2 linked regions of the Tribolium castaneum genome follow. The protein of the gene in region 2 interacts with the protein of the main gene of each other region in a pairwise test. Links are inferred from orthologs where the notes say so. Each region holds a gene or a part of one and is shown on either strand. Other genes may lie near its edges.

Region 1 (4,587 bases), on a different chromosome or scaffold from region 2:
AAATTTACAAGGAGAACAAGAATGTTGGAATAGTCATGCTTGCAACATTGTATGGTAGCAGGAGTCGTAAATTAGGGAGCTTTTTATTTCGCGGGAAGCGTGTTTCGCTTTACTGAGGATTAAATGAACTGTTATGGAATTGGAAGGGTTCATAAAACACTCTTAAAATTGCAACTGATGCCACTGGGCTCATGTAACAAATAACAGCATCAAAAAACACAGTTTTAGCGCCGCTAAATTTTCTGCTGAGCTTTTGGCATAGAATTGCACTGTTAGTGTGAGTTTTTTCTGGAAGTTGTACCTATATTTGCAGTATTTTTTTAGAAGTGACTTGAATGATGTTGAGAGAACTAAATTGGGTTAGTAATACCCACAAAATTTTCTTACCTATTTTTGTACATAATACATTAAAATCTAGAATAGCTGTACAGAATTATAAACATAGCAAAATAAAAAATTTACATGTGTGGATATGGGAAAATAAATTAAAGTTATTGTTGTCTTTACTCTTTACAGTCATTGTAATAATTTTTCTGCACCTAATAATCTTTCAGCAGCATTAAGGCAGTTATTCTCGCAAAAAAATTTCTGCTGATGAAAAACTACAGCCTTTTTTAAAATTTTTGTATTTAATATTTTTATTAAAGTATTTCATGTCTGGTTTTTAAATTTAGTAAGCTACTACTAATTTGATTAGGTATGTAATACAAACTTATTTATAGCAATGATTTTTTTAGCTTGAATTTTGAGAAATTTTTTGTTCTATATTTATAATGCTTGTAATTTTTACGTTATTTTTTATTTTAAAATCTAGACAAATTGGAAAGTAGGTAGGTAAATAAATAAAAAATTTAATTAAAATTATTTAATAACTATCACAGCTGATAGTTATTATTTCTTGTTAATTGTCGTTTTTTTATTATACCATGCTGAGTTGAATTGAAATATTGTGGTAGGTGATAGTAAATATAAAAATATATATAACAAATAATAAAAATAAAAAAATAATATAAAAAAACTAATTCATTTTTCAATTAAAAAAAAAAACAAAATCTTTTTTTCTGTTCTCTCGTTATTTTTATTTCTTCATTTAATTTTACTTTAATATACTCCTGCTTTTAAAGAAACTGTAAAACTTCTGGCAATTTGCGAATGAAAAATGATGTCTATTTATCATTAAACAGTTAACTGATACCTATAAGTGGATTCATTAGCAAAAGAAACAATCAATTTTCAACACAGCGCCATAACTCCATTCTCTTTTATGTAAGTTATGTTTTTTTTTAACTAGCATTGATATTACTGAAATAAAAGCTTTATTTAGTTTTTATTTTTCATAAATTCTAAAATAAATAAATAAATCTTAAAACATGTTTTACCGAAAAATATATTTAGGTTTTAATTTTTACGTAGTTTATTTATTATGTGCAGCAAGAATGTATATATATATATATATATATATATATATATATATGTACATATTATCCCGTACTTTGTGTTAAATTGTAATTTGTTTCATTTGATTAGGAATTACTTAGAAGAAATATCAACCGTGTAAGCATTTGTTATTAGCTGTTTTATGTTTATTTTTTGAATTTGTGTATTAATTAAAAAGCTAAGGTGAAACCGTCTGCAGGTAAGTGAGAGTATACTTATCTATAAGCAGTTTTAAAAATATTTGTTTCTATAGAACGTTATACTCGTAAATAATAAAGTAAAAATTTTCATTATTTTTGTGATATAATTTAATTTTGTGGTATTGGCGATTAAGCAAAAATGCGCTGTTATTTTTCTGGAATTTATTCATTTAGTGGTAGTTCTCATTATATGGGAAGTGTATTTCCACATTTTTTCCAATTTCAATTGCAAAGCAACTAAATTTTAATTTTTAATCATGAGAAACGTTTCTCGTTTCGGGCTTATCTTGTAACTTAACCCAGAAACATGTAATAGTGTTCCAATTATTTTCTCACCCACAGTTGATAATTGTTTGATATTAATAATAATTGACATTTGTTTTAGTAAATTACGAAACGCATCACTTGTCTTTTTAGTCTTTGTCAGAGTTAATGAAAATAAGCTATAAAACAACGATTTTCCAATCGCGTGGCGTCGCTAAACTTCCAATAAACAAATGTAACGAAACGTTTCCGCTCTAATCAATAAGATAAGAAAATTTTGAAAAGCTAAAATTTTTATCTGTTGACTCACCTGTTGGTTTTGGTACATTCCTTTTGACTTGCATCCACTTATAAGTTGGTAACACTGGTTGTGGCTGAGGAACCGAACTCAAATTATGCATAACGTGTTGTCTCATCCTCCCATCTCCCTGCAGCGCTTCCTCCTTGTACCTGTGGAGGTGTTGGTACTCCATGCAGGAGTTTGTGGGGGTGCTCGATGCCCCAAGGTGGTACCCGGAGTCAACCTCCAACTGGTACTTGTTTTCGTGGAGGAAGTGGTGCTGGTGCCCATCGGCCACCTCCTCATGGTGCCTCAGCAGCATGTTCTCATGGGTTCTTTGATAGGGTTCGTTGTAATTCTGGTGGTTGATGGGGGGGAAGTTTGAGTTACCATAATCCAAGTTTGTGTAACTTAGTCCTGTCTCTGTATTGATTATGGGATTGTCTTGGGGGATGGTCTGGTGGTGGTAGTAGACTTCTTGGGGCGACGGTGGTGTTTCCTCCGAGCCGGTGTACCCATATGGGTCTTCGTAGTGGTAATTGGAGTAATGTGGGGGCATTTGCTGGGCGTTTGGTATATCACTGGTGTAGTTGTAGTAGTTATCCGATGGGTATGTCCCATGTTGACTGTGATGGCCGTACATCCCAACGTCCATCATCATCATTTTCATCAAGTCGGCACTGCACACACGTCACATGGCAAGCACTCGATTGTTTATGCTGTTGCACGGCAGACGCGATATGTGTCAGAGGGAGGAGCTTGCTTCTGCGCGCTTTGGACGGCCGACCAATGGCAGAGCAGCCCCACGAAGATCATTTGATGCTGGATGAGGGATTGGTCTGGATCCAGCCATCATTGTACCGTTTTATAAGGGAACATTTCAATCCCAGTGAATGGTACAAGTGTCAGCTACTGTGTGTGACATGACAGCTCGCCTTGTATTGTTCGCATGTGGCGTTTCTAATGGGCTGAGGCCGAGATCCTTATCGACTTATTCATATTGTGATGCTGGGGAGAAAATTTTTGAGATGGTTTGAGAAAAGTTTGATTCCCGAAATGTAATAATTTAATAATTTATTGAGGGGTGGTAAGACGCGACTTCGGGGTCTTTCCCTGCTGATAAGACGAGAGGGGATAAAAAATTCACGGTTAAGTATATTAAAGTTTGATGCTGCTTCTAATATACGTTTTCAATAAAAGTCCTATCTATAATTTTATAGATATTAAATTTTTGGAGGCGACCGGGGTAGTCTGAAAGACTATTTACATAAAAAATTGTAGGTAATTAATAATTATACAAATACCTATAATTTATTATTGAAGCTATGAAATAAATATATAAATAAATAGTAAAAGCTATACGTATCATTTTGAATAAAAAACATACCCAAGTTTAAAAAAAGTTTAATCGTTATCAGATCAGAGTGACACATAGGTATGTCAAAGATATATATAGCATGTATGCTATACCATAAAAAGATATATGGTACCTAAGTATCCTAATTCAAACGTTTAGCATAAACTGTAATGCGTTTTATAATTAATATACTTAGGTATTTCTTTTGTGTAAGACAGTTTTGACAATTGTTTGGCATTTCTTAATATAATACGTCAAATTATTTTAGCAAATTTAAAGCAGTTTTAAGCCTTGTTGAGTCTAATTCGATGAATAAAATGTTGTATTCAACTCGTTTTTATGTAAATCTGTTCATTTATTTCACCTCGTGGTGAAATAAATCACTCGTGTTTTAAAAATTCACTCGTAAAATAAAGCGACCGATTTACACTCATAAACATTAGCATCTTAAATCTTAGTATTAATAAATAAATATTAATTATAGATTATAGGTAGGTATGCGCTTATACCTAGACATCAAGCTTTTTTTGCATATATGTGTGTGTCCATTACGACTAAAATGATTTCTTAAAATTTCTTGAGAAAGGCAACAGACGATTGTGAGTGTAGCAAAAATAATAGATAAAAAAACTCATGAAGGAAGATATTTCGCTGCAGAATAATATTTGGACTTTCTCATAAAAAAAATAAATAGGTATTGTTCACATTCATACCTAGGTATTTTGAGAAAAACACATTTCTGGATTTAACTTTTGTGTTGTATTTAGCACTTTGTAATTTTATTGATGAAATATTGTTGCGTTAGAATGTTTTTAATAGTGACATATAACGATCTTTTAAACAATAGAAATTTAATTTCTAACAAGTGATAAGTATCTCTAACAAGTAAAAACAGTAAAAAGAAAATATGTAGACATCAAAAACGAGAAATGTAACAATAATAATAATAATATTAGGCAACTGATTTTCACTTTTTTTATGAACAGAGACAATAGTTAATAGTTTCCAATTTTTTCTATATTAGATAACGTTAGTAGTTCCTATTAAAA
Region 2 (3,830 bases):
GCCAGTGGCGGCGCTCCTCGAGATGTTTATGTAGGTCGTCGGGCGCCGTTCACATCTCGATGTCCTTGCGCGCCGTACTCTCAAAGTCAATACACCGCGAAAATGCCAATTTATGCAGAAAATGTTAATGAAACGCGCCGAGTATGCGGTTTCGCATTAGCTATTGCGTAGCGAAGCCCCAGCTGGGGCACTTACCGTACAGATCCCCAGGACACGTCTTGCAGCAGCGGCCCGGCCGGTGCACCGGCTCGTCGCAGGTGGGCTCCGGGCACTCGTTCTTGATGCTCCGGCACTGGACCCGCGCCACGATCCGCCGTTTCTTCTGGAGCTGTCGAAAAAAGAACGAACCAAATCAAAACGGGAGGTTACAGTTAGCGGCGGCGAGGGCGCCGAGATGCGAAAGGTGTCGGTAGATCACAGATGGAACGGTTGCCGGTCACCGACCCGCCTGACCTCTACCTAGACGCCCCCATCTCGGGCTCTTCGCCGACGAGAAATCGCCGCTGACACACTCTCCGAGCGTGAAACTATTCCCCCAGTGAATTATTCATCAATGGATTATCGGGCTCGGAGACGCTTTCAATGAATGTCACTCACCGGAACGCACTCGCATTTCATGCAGTAGAGGACGCCGATGGGCACTCCGAGGTCGGGGATCCACTGCGAGCCCAGCTCGCGGACCTGCTTCCCGAACACGCACTCTGCAACAAAACACACATCAAAACCAGCCCAAAACTTTCATAGTCGGCAAAATAACCCCATTTTTTAACTATTAGAATTTGCGCCAACTTAACACTTTCTTCAAAACAAAAAAATGATTCGCTCGGAAGATCTCGAAACTACAAGCGAAGTCCAAGTACACCTGCTGCTTCCCATTCCAAGAAAAAAATTATCAAAAAAACTGAATGGGACTGAACAAATCGACGAAACAAATAGAAACTACTTCTGAAGTAAACTGTGTACTATAAATTATGCCCTGAGGTGCTTCAGTAGTCAGTCACATGAAAATTGAGTTTCGTTCATTGACGAATTTTGGATCATAATGACACAAAGGAGGTATAGATTTTCGCCAAAAGCCCACTTCGCCCACTTTGGGTATTGAAGGGAACACCAGTCGTTTAATCCAAAGTTGGTGACTTTATTCGAGCGTAGGGCCTTTTGTGTGCATCTTGTCCTTTTTGGTTGTTGGCCCTTGCGCTGGCGGCGTGTGCCAAGTGTCCCCCGGCAATGCGGCCATGCCCCCGCACATCGATTTAGATTTGACCTTTCCCAACTATTGCAGCAGACAACGTGTCTGTAGGTTTAATTGCGCGCCCCCCCGATGGAACCCCCGGCCGTTGCGCAACGGGACCGAACCGCGTGCGCTTTTTTTATTATTATTCGGTGATCTAAGCGACATTGGCCTCAAAAATATGTTTACTACGTCGTCGTATTTTTGACGATTATCGTTGTTTTTTGTTTTTTGTCTGGTCGCTTTATAATTAAAGCGCGCGCGACTATTTCCAACTGTTTAGAATCGCTCGCATTGCTACATTGCATCGTACTTCGCAAATGTCAACTCGGAGGTGTGATCTTTGCTCGTAACATGCATTTCCACTTAGTGTGCGGCTTACTTTTACACCGGCCATTTTGGACACACACGTGATCGCGGGTGAAACAATTAAGTCAGCGTAATTAATAAATGGGAAAAAACGGGCAATTGCCGCGTAATCATAGACATTAGACGCGCATTTGCATGCAGGCGTTTAATGCATTTTAATAAATTAAATGGATAGGTTGCTGCTCGGGCCGGACAAAAGTGCAGCCAGTGGCGGCGTGCACGGAAAATTAAAAGGCGATAAAACACTGAAAAACGCTCAGTGAAAGTTGCCTCCAACGGCAATTGACGTGTCCATGATTTATATCTAGAAATCATAGTCTGAAGAAAGCAAAACGCTAGTTGAGTGGCATCAGGACGCCTCAATAACTTTGGTTGTAACCCGCGCGGCGGTAAAAATGTGTTTTTCATTAAAATAACAGACGCGGTTTGCGAAATCCAAGTGTTTTATCATCTACTTTTAGATTTCAGGCGTTGAGCTGACGCGTCACTTTGACGACCTTTAGATTATTATTTTAAAAGTCCTTATTTTAAATATAATGCGAGTTTGTATCGGTGAGGTCAGGCTAGGCGTCTGGGAATAAAAACCAACGCCATGGACTGATTAATCTCTCAAACTTGGTTCGTTTAAATGACATTGCATTTAATCGAAATCACATGTTAACACATCAGCATGTTGAATAACATGAACTAGATTGCTCGCATTTACCTGCAATTATGTAAAAATCATCCGTGTCGTAATGGCTAAATTTCGCGCAAATCGCCACCTTATCTAATTGGTGCAGGCGGAGCGATAAAGCTCGCAAGTACACAATTTCGTTCTCAATGAATTAGAAAGGCGCATTTTGGGTCCAATACCCAGGTTTCGGTAGCGCGTCAAGGCCGCCTGTCGTGACGTCAGCAGTTCGCGGGTGGTTTTGTCGCAACACCGGTGGTAGAACCCGGTCTTGCCGTAATGATACCTTTATTAAACAAGTTGATGGCGAATGTCTTATTTACGTTAAGCAGAACAATTTCGCCTTGTTTTTGTTGTGCACGGCGAAGTTTTTCGCTTCACGGTGGGCTGAGACAGCTACAATTCTCTCTCTTGAGAACTGGTTTCATTTTTTCCGGAATGTAAGTAAGTATAACTAGCGCATATTTTGCGATAATATGGCGTCGCAGCAGTGCTGCTGCCGCCCTTTTCTGCTCAAACTAGAGGGCGAAGTTTGGCGGAAGTTCGCCATGAGCCGCGCGAAAGTGAGAGTGCTCAGCAGCGCACGCCATGTGGAAGACGCTAGACGCCGCTCAAATGCCAGGAGTTCAATCCAGATGGGCCTCAGGATATATTAGTCATGTTATATCGAGCTTGGCGCGAATTCAATGCCGCAGACGGACGACACACCTCTAGACGAGGCGCATCGGCCAAGAGGCGAGCTGCAAAGGTGCAGGCGACCGCTTCCTGGTCCGCTGACGACACCGTTGGACCGCTAAGCCGATAAATAACGCCGTTCGCGGACTAATAGCACGATAATTACGTCTGTTTAATCTTAATTTAATTCGATTTCGCGGCCGGCGCCACAACCGACCGCTCTCTCAATATGTCAGTATTACAGCCGCATTCAAAGTCAACGATCTGGTAATGTGGTTGCAAATACGCGCCCGGCACCCGCTCCTCTTTTATCCGACTATATTTAGACCTTTGATTCCCGAAACGAGTCGAATAACTACTTCCGCCAACACCATAATTAACACCCGAATCGCACACACGCAACTCGCAATCGGACCTATCCTCACATCCAAACCGGGCAAAGAAAAACACAACAATTAATAAGCAGAAGAATAAAAAACAAGGAGGCATCCAAAACAGAAATTGAAGGTGTTTGCGAGGTCCAGCGCCTACGATACAACTCGTTTTTGACTCCCAATTTAATTATTGGCCACACGGTGACACCTCTTAACAATGGGCATCTCTCCACAACGGACAATTAAGGATTCCCCATGGGTGTCCGTTGTTGAGAGGTTTTACTGTAGGTTTTTGGGTGACGGCAATATACCAGTGGCCGCCCATAAAAGTTTGATAATCATACAATGAAACTGAGTTTAAAATTTCGCCACAAATTAATCGAATAATTCCAAAAATGGGGCAGTTTTTGTATTTTTTAAACGTTGAATGAAATAAACACGTTTATGAATTGGAGAAAAACACTGAACCGAGCTAAAAACTACATTGAGTCGAAGACAAGAGGGTGAA

What was found.
Region 1: the proteins of sog (region 2) and Lab interact in binary tests that used the Homo sapiens proteins (3 or more experiments, as listed by UniProt). The link is inferred for Tribolium castaneum from reciprocal best matches to the Homo sapiens genes CHRD and HOXA1.

Annotation. Positions count from the first base shown.
Region 1 is NC_087397.1:6,654,813-6,659,399, forward strand, and holds the start of Lab (labial), read right to left. Parts: upstream 2,870-4,587; 5' UTR 2,852-2,869; coding exon of another isoform or gene 2,843-2,851; coding exon 2,212-2,842; intron 1-2,211. UniProt on the Homo sapiens protein: Sequence-specific transcription factor. Regulates multiple developmental processes including brainstem, inner and outer ear, abducens nerve and cardiovascular development and morphogenesis as well as cognition and behavior.
Region 2 is NC_087395.1:22,989,909-22,993,738, reverse strand, and holds part of sog (short gastrulation), read right to left. Parts: intron 702-3,830; coding exon 598-701; intron 329-597; coding exon 196-328; intron 1-195. UniProt on the Homo sapiens protein: Dorsalizing factor. Key developmental protein that dorsalizes early vertebrate embryonic tissues by binding to ventralizing TGF-beta family bone morphogenetic proteins (BMPs) and sequestering them in latent complexes.